Neurospora crassa OR74A: one gene and its partners. The protein of the gene in region 1 interacts with the protein of each later gene in a pairwise test. Links are inferred from orthologs where the notes say so. Each region holds a gene or a part of one and is shown on either strand. Other genes may lie near its edges.

What was found.
Region 2: the proteins of NCU05288 (region 1) and NCU03711 interact in binary tests that used the Saccharomyces cerevisiae proteins (3 or more experiments, as listed by UniProt). The link is inferred for Neurospora crassa OR74A from reciprocal best matches to the Saccharomyces cerevisiae genes GDI1 and YPT7.
Region 3: the proteins of NCU05288 (region 1) and NCU05234 interact in binary tests that used the Saccharomyces cerevisiae proteins (3 or more experiments, as listed by UniProt). The link is inferred for Neurospora crassa OR74A from reciprocal best matches to the Saccharomyces cerevisiae genes GDI1 and YPT6.

Annotation. Positions count from the first base shown.
Region 1 is NC_026504.1:5,449,810-5,454,103, reverse strand, and holds NCU05288 (rab GDP-dissociation inhibitor), read left to right. Parts: upstream 1-1,494; 5' UTR 1,495-1,945; coding exon 1,946-2,079; intron 2,080-2,176; coding exon 2,177-2,550; intron 2,551-2,625; coding exon 2,626-3,168; intron 3,169-3,231; coding exon 3,232-3,386; intron 3,387-3,472; coding exon 3,473-3,664; 3' UTR 3,665-3,981; downstream 3,982-4,294. Other genes in the region: NCU05287 (50S ribosomal protein L4), read left to right, coding at 1-161. UniProt on the Saccharomyces cerevisiae protein: Regulates the GDP/GTP exchange reaction of SEC4 by inhibiting the dissociation of GDP from it, and the subsequent binding of GTP to SEC4. Plays an essential role in the yeast secretory pathway.
Region 2 is NC_026505.1:2,172,432-2,176,013, reverse strand, and holds NCU03711 (GTP-binding protein ypt7), read left to right. Parts: upstream 1-1,261; 5' UTR 1,262-1,702; coding exon 1,703-1,732; intron 1,733-1,797; coding exon 1,798-1,851; intron 1,852-1,936; coding exon 1,937-2,032; intron 2,033-2,103; coding exon 2,104-2,328; intron 2,329-2,395; coding exon 2,396-2,608; 3' UTR 2,609-3,029; downstream 3,030-3,582. Other genes in the region: NCU03712 (hypothetical protein), read right to left, coding at 1-663. UniProt on the Saccharomyces cerevisiae protein: Ypt/Rab-type GTPases are key regulators of membrane trafficking and intracellular vesicular transport.
Region 3 is NC_026504.1:5,666,662-5,670,719, reverse strand, and holds NCU05234 (GTP-binding protein ryh1), read left to right. Parts: upstream 1-1,320; 5' UTR 1,321-1,839; coding exon 1,840-1,886; intron 1,887-1,982; coding exon 1,983-2,008; intron 2,009-2,092; coding exon 2,093-2,181; intron 2,182-2,318; coding exon 2,319-2,448; intron 2,449-2,640; coding exon 2,641-2,990; 3' UTR 2,991-3,510; downstream 3,511-4,058. Other genes in the region: NCU05233 (60S ribosome subunit biogenesis protein NOP53), read right to left, coding at 1-456, 530-681. UniProt on the Saccharomyces cerevisiae protein: Protein transport. Might participate in post-Golgi transport.

The DNA of each region.
Region 1 (4,294 bases):
ACCTGTCCAACCCCGAGAACCCCTACACGCCTAGCACATTCCTCGAGGCGGAAGAGACGGCGGAGGGCGCCGAGGCCAGCGAGACGCAATCCACCACCACAGAAATCGACCCAACAACGATACCATCATCCAAGTCCCAAGCCGAAGCCCCCAGGGTATGAAGAGAGGGAAGCGGTCCCAAATGAACCAGACGGGCGAACGGTCGTGAAGGTACCCTTGCGGTAAGAGGACGAGGGGGGGAAAACAGTCACGATACCCGTTTTCCCAAAACAAACCACCACACATTTTTGCAACCTGTATCGATAGTGTAACGAGCATCATATGTGTTCACTGTACAACAGCCAAATTCAACCCGGACAGGCCCTGTTTCTAAAGAGGGAAGGACATGGGCCTGGGAGATTTTCATGAAGAAGCCAACGAAGCAAAAACAAAAAGCCCCATGGGGTTCATGGGAATGGGTGTCCCATATGGATTAGGCGGTCCCTGGTGAATAGTGATGGGCCGAACAACCGAGATCTGGGGTGCGTGAATCTCTGTATACCAACATCTCGCTTAGGACATGTCTAGATTTCCACGGTAGCTGGGGAGATCATCATCGGCGCCAACCTGGACAGGCGAGACCATGGAGAGGTCAGGAGGAAGGGGCATGGCGGGATAGACGAGACAAAGCTCGTTTCCAAGTCCAATTTTTAGATACAAAATGGCGAGTGGTAGTGTACATATATCAGAATGATATATATATGGATCTCTATATATACATATCAATCATCGTTGCGGGGACCAGATGAAGCAAGCCAGGGTTCTGTTCATCAGATCAGTGAACGGTCTTCATGTCTTTGAACATCAAATCATTAGCGAGCCCGAGTCCCACCAAGGGGGACATTAGGGGGACATTACTTTCTTGGCTCCGGTCTAGCTCAAAGAAGCTCAAAGCGGGGTCCCGTTCGCGCCCCTCATTGTACGACTCCCCCACTTCCTACCACGACGGTGACGAACCAGAGGCCGGCCATCTGCTAGAGGTACCACAACTGGCTGGCCGGCAGCAAGAAGCCTGGCCTCCATGGGCTGGGCTACCTAGGTAGGGGAGACCGCCTACGAGACCGCCCACCCAAACCGGAGCCCCGAGGAGACACGACCATGCATTGGACATGCCCCCTACTTTCATCAAAGAGGTGTCTGTTTGTCTCTCAATGGTTTTGAATGGTGGTTGAAGACTGACAGCCTGGCGACGATGGACATGATCAGAGCAAACTGAATGGATCATATGGAGTGCCGTGACGGAGACCTGACCTGGACCCATGGCTGACAGCTTCCTGCACCTGCACACCGTACTTGCAACAGGTGGAAGCTGCTGTCAGTCGCAGGCGGTGCCAGCAATGCAGCGTGTGTGCAGGCAGTGGCAGCAGCCCAGCGGCGGCAGTGCGGCCCCAGTCCGTCCGTCAACGCCCCGTCCGTCGTCGTCCCTTGTCCCCTAGGTAGGTAGTAACCAGGTATGGACACACTAACGTGACAGACCGACGGGACGCCGCCTCCTGTCAGTTGTCCAGTCCAGTCCAGTCCACGACAAAGTGGAAGTCCACCAGCCAGTCCACTCAACTGCTGGTCTCTGTCCCTGGTCGTCCATCATCTCTCTCTGGCGGGCTACCTACTTACCCCCATTTAGTATCAAGTGATCCGCCTTCAACTTCGTTCCTTCTTCCCCGTCCCATTCTTCTTGTTCTGCTTCTTCCATTCTCCGTCGTCGTGTGTTTAGCCTGCTTGCTATATACCACCTACTACCTACCTGCCTCCTACCTACTCTCACCACCACCACCCCCACCACCCCCCTCTAATCCAAACAACAAGCTTCCTACTACCTGTAGCTTGTTGCTTATAGCTTGCAGACCGCAAGACCGCCGACTCACCACAACAACCAACCACAACTAATACTATCAACACCACAACCATGGCCGACGAGATCGCCAAGGAGTACGATGTCATTGTGCTGGGCACTGGCTTGACCGAGTGTATTCTCTCGGGTGTTCTCAGTGTCAAGGGAAAGAAGGTCCTCCACATCGACCGCAACGACCACTACGGCGGGTTCGTACTTCCCTCTCCCCCCCTTCAACCCCCCCCTTCACCCCCCTATCGAACCATGATGAGGACACAACGGAAGCTAACATGACTCCTTGCGCAGTGAGGCGGCGTCGGTTAACCTCGAGACGCTCTTCAAGAAATATGGCAACTTTGCCGCCGGTACCGAGCCTTGGAAGGAATACGGTCGCCCCAACGACTGGAACATCGACCTTGTTCCCAAGTTCCTCATGTCCTCGGGCGAGCTCACCAACATTCTTGTCTCCACCGATGTTACCCGTTACCTCGAGTTCAAGCAGGTTGCCGGCAGCTACGTACAGCAGGGTGCTGGTTCCAAGGCCACCATCGCCAAGGTCCCCTCAGATGCCGCCGAGGCGTTGCGCTCGCCCCTCATGGGCATCTTCGAGAAGCGCCGCATGAAGAGCTTCATCGAGTGGGTTGGCGAGTTCGACCCCAAGGACCCCGCCACACACAAGGGTAAGTTCGGCCCACAAATACACTTGCTGTCATATTGTATTGTTCATGAGCGCTAACCAGTAGGGGCGCTTGCAGGTCTTGACATGGCCACCTGCACCATGAAGGACGTCTTTGAGAAGTTCAGCCTCGAGGCCGGCACCAAGGACTTTGTCGGCCACGCCATGGCCCTCTACCTCAACGACAACTACCTCGATACCCCTGGCGCCGCCCCTGAGACCATCGAGCGCATCCGCCTTTACGGCCAGTCCGTTGCCCGCTACGGCAAGTCGCCATACATCTACCCTCTCTACGGCCTCGGCGAGCTTCCCCAGGGTTTCGCCCGTCTCTCTGCCATCTACGGCGGTACCTACATGCTCAACACCAACGTTGACGAGCTCGTCTACGAGAACGGCAAGGCCGTCGGCATCAAGGCCACCATGACCGGCGTTGAGCCCGAGATGAAGTTCGAGACCCGCGCCAAGATGATCCTCGGTGACCCCAGCTACTTCCCCGACAAGGTCAAGGTTGTCGGCCACGTCCTCCGCGCCATCTGCATTCTCAAGCACCCCCTTGCTAGCACCAACGATGCCGATTCGTGCCAGTTGATCATTCCCCAGTCGCAGGTGGGCCGCAAGAACGGTAAGTTTGTTTTGCGTCACAACATGATAATCCAAACAGATTCACTAATAAAGGGTTGTCCAGATATCTACATTGCTTGCGTCTCCTCGGCGCACAACGTCTGCCCCAAGGGCTACTGGATCGCCATTGTCTCGACCATTGCCGAGACCTCTGCGAACCACCACCTCGAGCTCGCCCCTGGTATCGAGCGCCTCGGCAAGATCGAGGAGCAGTTCATGGTATGTTTTTTTTTGTTCTCCCCCGTCATTCTTGCCTACCTAGCTTCTAGAAAGATAACTAACCCAATTTTTCCCACAACAAACAGGGTCCCCCCATTCCCCTCTATGAGCCCCTCGAGGATGGTCGCAACGACAACATCTTCATCTCCAAGAGCTACGACGCTACCAGCCACTTTGAGACCTCGACAGAGGATGTCAAGGACATCTACCGCCGGTGCGCGGGCGAGGAGCTTGTTGTTGAAGGTTTGAGGGAGGGTATCCAGATGTCGCAGGAGTAAACAATGGACGACAGTGACATAAAGGGATATATGGATATGGATTAAGGCATAACATTAACAACATTTAATTGATGGTTTCTCCGTTTGAAAGCATAAACTGTACTACATATCACATTAGTACATACAGGCTGCTGTTGCTGCTGCTGCTGCTGCTTTGTTTAGCGAGGTTTTACGGGCAGTCAGCCAGTCAGCCAGTCAGCCACTTCCCCCTTCAACTCACCCAGTTTCCAAAGCGACGGGGACGAGTAGAGGAGATGGGTAATAAATCACATTAATCTCATAAACACGACAAAGTAATCAAAAGGAAGTGGTTCCCCTGGTGTTAGCACAGTGAAAGTTAACACCGTAGAGATATTAGATGTGGAGATGATGCTTTCAGAGCCCCTGAGTTGGGAATTTCCTCATCACGGTGGTGGTAGTGGTGATGGTGTTTGAATGACCGTAGCTCGTATCACTCTCCAATGTACGACCATTATAAGCATGTCTCGAACGAAGCGTTGCCACAGTAACTCTTCATTAAGTATGGGTCGGCGATAGGTGAATATACGACGTAGCAACAGTGAGATTTATGTAGTTGTTGTTGACATCCTTTTTTTTCTCTCCCATTTTGCCCAAGAACGCCTCGACATG
Region 2 (3,582 bases), on another chromosome or scaffold:
CCAGTGCGCAAGGTAGAGGAAGTCGTTCAGGTGGTGAGTGACTCGCGCCTGTCCGCCGCTTTCTGCGCCGACTACGGCCACGAAGAGGAACTGCTTCGGAGCAGTCTGGACGCTCGTTCGAGTGAAGAGGCGGCGCGCGCGCAGGAGTTCGAGGGCTTGGATTTGCACGGCGCGCGGGGCATGGTCGAGGTTTTGGGCGAGGACGACGTTGGCTATTTGCGTTGCCGGTGGTTGTTGTTGTTGTTGCTGCTGTGATGGTGGTGGCGGGTGGGCGGAAGAAGATGAGCCGGGAACATTTTGTTTCGAGGAAAAGTATGAACCCGAGCCGGAAGGTACAGAGCGGTGGGAGTGGTGGTGTTGGGGGTTGTTGCTGTTGTTGGGCAGTGGTGAGCTTGGTGGAGTGACGGGGACTAAGAGTGCTGCTGCGAAATCATCGAGTGTCATCTGCGAGTGACATGGGACGATGACGGGCGTGAGGCCAAAGGTTTTGACGGCGGTCAGACATAGCTCTTTCGATAGGTCCTCGACAAAGTCGGGTTCGGTGCTGATCAGGCAGTGTTCCCGTGCGATGAGGGAGAGAAGGACGGCGAGCTCGAGATCGCTCAGGCTGTGTATTTTGTCCTGGAGTTCGGCTTGTTGTCGTTCCTTGATATCATCCTCCATTTCCAGTGCCGTTATTATGCCGAAGCATGAGGATCATATCCATGGACAGGAGTAGACGAGTCTCTTAGGTAGTGTAAGAGCAAGAAGAACTGGATGCCGATATTGCGGTCCTTCACGCCGGCGCTTTTTTCTTGTCACCGGGATTGGGCCATGCTTGGTGGATGGAAATCTCGAGATGGTCCGTCACTTTCCACAGTCGCCCGATCGGCAGGATGTTGTTAGGTTTTTATGTCTGTAAATTGTAGAGATAGTTATTCCTGTGAAGCGTACGAGTACATCAAGGGTGTGACAAAACTGAATTGAATGGAAGAAATGTGAGTCGGTCGCAATCTGTCGATCCTTTCTGCCCCTGGGACTGTTCCGCTGAGGAATGGGAGGATGACATGGCTGATGAAGAATGAATGAATGATCAATCGACACTTAATCCTTGGCGTTGGGCATGGTGCAGTGGGCCACAGGTTCCTCTTTGCGGGCCACCTGTCGTACATGTCGGGTGTTTCAGCTCGGACCAGGCCGACTTTGGGCGCTGGCGGGTGACTTCATTGGCTCCAGGGATGCACTGGCGAGACTGGACCAGTGGTGCGTGCCTGCCTGACGGCGCGCCAAAGGCGTCGAGGGCGTGTTAGCGCTGCGACCACCTCCGTCACTAGGTGGTTGTGTCGCAGAGCCGTCGCTCCTCCAACAGCGCAGCATTCAGTGACCAGCCCCAGTTCAACAAGTTCCCGCCGCCCCAACGTCCAGGTCGGTCACGTCGGTCGGTTAGGTCACCACTTATCGAAAACCAACCTACCTTACCTACCGCTTGGCCTTGTTTAGACTGAGTGCCGAATCTAGCAGCCTGCTACGACCTACACTAAACCCAACATTTGTTGCGCCCGCCGTCCTCCTCACACTCTTACGACTCCCATCTTTCTCGACTACCATCACTGGTGGACTGTTGTTCTTGACGATTGCCCGGAAGCACGCCAGCACGAGCAACTCCACCTCGTCCCGTTTCTACGTCTTATCAAACAACTTATCTAATTCCATACCGCCCGCCATGTCTTCGAGGAAGAAGGTTCTTCTCAAGGTGCGAGTCGGCCGCCAAATCGGACCATCTAGACAGCAACAGCTAACAATGACTCCCAATGGCAGGTTATCATCTTGGGCGACAGCGGTGTCGGAAAGACCAGTTTGATGAACCAATATGTATGCCAGCGTCGAGCCCGTTGTCACCATGCATTATGATACAAAGAGGACGTCATCTGACCCCCGCTCTTTTGGCGCAAAACAGGTCAACAAGAAGTTCAGTGCTAGCTACAAGGCCACTATCGGAGCCGATTTCTTGACCCGGGAGGTTCTGGTGGACGACCGCCAAGTAACCATGCAGGTGCGTGCGCCAAATACCCTACTTTGAGCTGGTTGGACGACGTGCTAATACGTAAGGTTCTCGACGGGCAGCTGTGGGACACAGCCGGACAAGAGAGGTTCCAGTCGCTGGGCGTTGCCTTCTACCGCGGTGCCGACTGCTGTGTTCTAGTATACGATGTCAACAACTCCAAGAGCTTCGATGCGCTCGACAGCTGGAGAGACGAGTTCCTTATCCAAGCATCTCCGCGAGACCCGGATAACTTCCCGTTCGTCGTGCTGGGTAACAAGATCGATATGGAAGAGAGCAAGAGGGTGGTATGTTTTCTGTTCGATGGGCCTTGTCGTATGTTGGAGATCATCATTTACTGACCTTGTGGCGCAGATTTCGACCAAGAGGGCCATGACCTTTTGTCAATCCAAGGGCAACATTCCGTATTTCGAGACCAGTGCAAAGGAGGCTATCAACGTCGAGCAGGCCTTTGAGGTTATCGCCAGAAACGCGCTCATGCAGGAAGAGTCGGAGGAGTTCAGCGGAGATTTCCAGGATCCCATCAACATTCACATCGAGAACGACCGGGATGGATGCGCGTGCTAAGGGCGAAGGAGCTCCATCAAGCTTCTAGTCCTCCTTTTGGGTTTATGAGGGAGTTTGGTTTTTCATGTCTTCATTTGTATGATATCACGCTGGGTATGACAGGAATGCGGTTTTGATCTTGGCTTGCAGAGACGGTGCTTAATGACCAGTGAGTTTGGAACGGGGGGAGTCAATGGGGTGCGCAAGAGTGAACGTGAACGGTGACGAGCAATGATAGATATGCACTGGTGTAGATGGGAGTATGGAATAATCATGGTCTTGGTGCCAGAGGTTTTCATCTCGACTGTCTTTCCTCTCCGAGTTTCCATAGCTGAGCATCTGGTAATTAGTCTAGGACCTGTGCAGCGGTCTTTCTGACTGTATCCAATGTGCTCTTCACCATGTCATCACATTTTGTAACAAGTGGTCGCAAGTCAACGACAACCCAGAGCTGTTGTATTATGGCACGACAATCTGGAACAACACCGAAAAGATTACTGCCTGCCTACTACCAGCGATAGCAGGTACCCGCCAGCTCCTTTCAGATAAGCGACCTATGTGGGAAATGCGTCTCCGCAGCTAATGTTTGGATGAGAGGTACCTACGTACATGCCTACATAATCACCTGCAGATGCATAACCTTTTCTTCACATTTTCAACTGCAACTAACGTTTGCCTTTTCAGCTCCTTCACCTCTTCACATCTCCAGGATGGAGAGTTTCATCATTGAGCCGATGACAAAACCACCGGCGACAGTAGCGCATTGGCGTGATGTCTCAGTGGTTGAAGATGAGTGGTAAAACAAAGCAACGGACACCGTACCTACTTCAACGGCCTATGGACTTTTTTTGTTGACTGAGAATAGCAAACAGATTGGACCCATCAAGTATTCGCGTCAGGGGCTGGATGGTATCACAGGGACTCCCATGGCGCCTCCGCAACTCTACTCGACTTTGAGATTTTGCGATTCCACTTCCCCGGAGTGGCAAACAACG
Region 3 (4,058 bases), about 220 kb from region 1:
TTGCCGGTGGCGGCGAGGGAGATGGGTTGTTGTGTGAGCGTCTTGGGCGCCTTGGGCTTCTCGACCTTGGGCAAAAAGTTGAACGTTTCCGCGGCCTGCTGCTTCTTTTTCTGCTCTTCCTCTGGGTCGGCCCAGGCGTCAAAGGTGGCGTCAACGACCTCAACCGTGGTGGTGTGGTGGCCGTCGGCAACGCGCTTCAGGCGACTGAGCTCCTTTTGGGTGACGTAGGTGGCCCGCAGGCGCTTGGAGGGCAGGACGCCGTCGGTGACCTTGCCGGAGGTTTCAGAAGCCGGGCGCTTCTTGAGGGAGACGGCGGGAACGGCGGAGCGCTGGGCGAGGATCTCGTCGGCCTTCAAGGGCTTCTTGAGTTGCTTGGGGAGCTTCTTGGTGATTTCGGTGTCGGGCTTGACGTCGATGGCGAAGAGTTCTTCGGAGGTCTTCTCGGCAATGACACCACTGTTATACGATAATTCATGTTAACCAATTGGTGTCTTTGGTAATACAAAGCATCACAGAAGGAGCGCCGTACCCCTTGATAATCTGGGCGTTCAACTCATCGAGACCCTGCTCGACCTCTGTCACGTCGACATTCTTCCTCCACGCCTTCTTGCCCTTTCTCGACGGTTGGTTGTATTGCTTGGGGGCTTCGGGATTGCCCGACAAGGGTTTTAGGACGGGCATTTTGGATATGTGATGTGATGGTGTGTTGTGTTGTTGGGTTGACGACTCGAAGAAATCAAACGAGTCGGCGGAGGTTCGAGGCAGATAAGAAATTGGAAATATTGATACCTCGAAACCGCCTGGAATTCTGGGGTCTCCTCTGCAATCAATCCGACTGCCCAGTGGGGTGTGCAACTCAAAATTTCAGCGGCGACAGGAGGCAGCGATAAGATAAGAAAGACCTGCCCGAGACAGGACAGGGAAGAGCAACTTCATGGAACACAAGCGTCCAGCGCTTCAGTTCCCTTCCCCAGCCGTGCTCAGCTGGCAGTTGGAGCAATTAGCCAATCAGACTTCCAAGCTGCCTCGGCCTCTGGACAAATCCAATGACGGCCGCCAAGCTTCCATTGGATGCCCGGTCTCGGTCGTTTTGGTCAAGTGAAGTGTCGAATTTGTCTGGGCGCAGAAAGGCGGCGGGCGGCCACTGTTTCCCTCCACTGATCGCTTGGCGCGGTCCCCTTTCTCTCGCATGAGTCCGCTTCGGGGAAGAAGACTGAATAATAGTCGCAAGAAACACTTTGTTGTTCGAACTTGAGGTTATGCATAAACAATGGATAAAAACATGTAAACTTGTACATACGTACATACGGAATGTCGGTCAATCAATTAATCTGTATCCAAACAAAATATTAAATGTTCAAGTATTTTCTGCTCTCTGTGGTATCAACTCTTATAAAACGATCTCTCGACCCGATTTTTGTTTGGTAAACGAAGACTCGACGGACTGCAAAGACCCCAGCAACCAAGTCGGCAACGAGACCCCGACTGGATCCCAAACACCGACCCGATTGTCCTCCAAGCTCCCTTGTCATCCACCCCCCGGCCACCACGCCCCGTCCGTCGCACCACTGAGACCACTCAACGCTGCATGATCAGTCTCCGGCAACTCTCCGCCGCCGTCCATCTTCCACTTCGACGACCAGCAGACACCTATCTAACTCTAGACCAACTCCGACCGCCTACACTACTAAGCTTTCTGCCACTTAACCACCACCACCTCCTCCAAAGTCCGAAAGCTTCCTCCCCTTGATCGTGTTTCCGAATACCTTCAGCTACCTACCTACCTACCTACCTACCTACCCCGCCAAATACCGTTAATCCGCAAACACATCCATCACAATGGCGCAAGCAGGCGGGTCATACAACAACCCCTTGAAGAAATTCAAGTAAGACAACATACCCGACACTTTTGCAGACAATGCACTTAAGTCAAATGGAAGACAAAACAAGACAAGATGCTAACCACTCTTTCTCCTCGCCAGGTTGGTCTTCTTGGGCGAACAAAGCGGTATGCGATTACCTCAACCTACAACACTTTCTCCACGATGTTCTCCGAGACACCAATGCTAACTCAACGATTGCGCGCAAACAGTCGGCAAGACGTCGCTCATCACACGCTTCATGTACGACTCGTTCGATAACATGTACCAAGCCACCATTGGTATCGATTTCCTTTCCAAGGCATGTTCGACCCCCGTCTCCCATTCAATTCTTTACCGCCCTTCCTTCCCAGACAGACAATGCGCGACAGTTGCAAAGACCCAAGAACTAGTAGAACAAGATGAGAGCCTTTGGCTAACTTTACGGGGGGGAAAAAGACCATGTACCTCGAAGACCGAACAGTCCGCCTACAGCTCTGGGACACAGCCGGCCAGGAGCGTTTCCGCTCTTTGATCCCTTCGTACATCCGCGACTCGTCAGTAGCCGTGGTAGTTTATGACATTTCGAGTATGTTATGTTATGATATTTCTTTTCTTTTCTCTTCCGCCTTTCTTGACCATCCTCTCTCTCCCCAAATCCCCCCCCTCACCGCCTTCCACCCCCGCTATTTCCCCCCCCCCCCCCCCTCCTCCCCTCAAGCCACCAATTTCAAAACCTCCCCCAAAGAAACAGGACACTAACATTCATAACCAACACCAGACGCCAAATCCTTCCAAAACACACGAAAATGGATCGACGACGTGCGCGCCGAGCGCGGCAACGACGTGATCATTGTCTTGGTGGGCAACAAGACGGATCTGAACGACAAGCGCGAAGTGACCACGGCGCAGGGCGAGGAGGAGGCCCGGCGCAACAACCTCATGTTTGTCGAGACGTCGGCAAAGCTGGGCCACAACGTCAAGACGCTGTTCAAGAGGATAGCCCAGGCCTTGCCCGGGATGGAGGGCACCGGTGGGGAAGGTGCCGGTGGTGCGGGCACGGGGGCGGCGGCGACAAGGATCGATGTCAGCAGTAAGGAGACGGTGGCGCAGGAAGGGTGCGCTTGTTAAGACTGACTGGACTGGTCTGACTGGTCTGGCGGCCTGGTGCGGTTTGGTCTGCTCTCGTCTGGTCTGCTCTGGTCTGATCAGGGCAGGACAAGCTGAATTCCTCTTCCCTAGGGAAAGGGCGTGCTGGTTGGGAAACCGTGACGGCTGGGGATGAAGACAGCAATGGGGATGATGATCATGTTGACGATGTTAACGAGGTTAACGATATAATGGGGTAAATATATGATGAGAGAATGAGATGGAACTTGATGATGATGATGATGGGGGGTGGGGGGAGGGAAATAGAGGTGGGTGGGCTAGACAACCTGACAAATGGGGAAGCAAACTATAATGAGAAACTTGGCTGTGCTTTGTGCTTACGGTTTGGCTGGCTGGCTAAAGCAAGGCGATCGGAGCATTAGCATGCGAAGGAAGGGGTTGGTTTGGTTTTGTCGGGTCTTAACGCTTATAATAATACAAATGATAAAAGATATAATACTTTGTATTTAGTTACCGACTTGAACCAACTGTGTCTTTTAGGTGTTGTTTAGAGTTGTTGTGTTGTCGACTGAGTGCAAGATGGAATCAACGAACGGGTAGTAGTCCAAGATTGACCTTGGATATATCCTTGGCTAGGATACCTAGTCAGGTCTCGAGCTACAGAGGTCAGTCACGTTGGCAGAAGACAGAAACGAGTAACTTGTCGAGTCAGAAAGTACTGAGGATTACTACTATAAAACAAGACAAGACATGGCAGAAAGAAAAAAACAAACAAGTACTTCATATTGTGGGTCTCCCCGTGTCTATTAAACGCCAAATTCGCCGATTCCAATAAAACCGAAAATATGCTTTGCTACTAAAGGTAGACTGATTGATCCCCCCCTTGAAAACCATGGTTCTGAATATAATGAATCTTTCCAATGACCTGTAGCGACCAACGACCAACCAACCAAGCAAGGGGTATAAGCAAGCCCCGAAAGCAGCCATCGCTCGGGGGGGAGGATTGTCTGTCTGTCCAAAGCCACAGTTACTGTTTTTACAGTTAGAGTATTGGCTGTTGGTCAACCAATTGCTGTCTGTCCTGTCCTC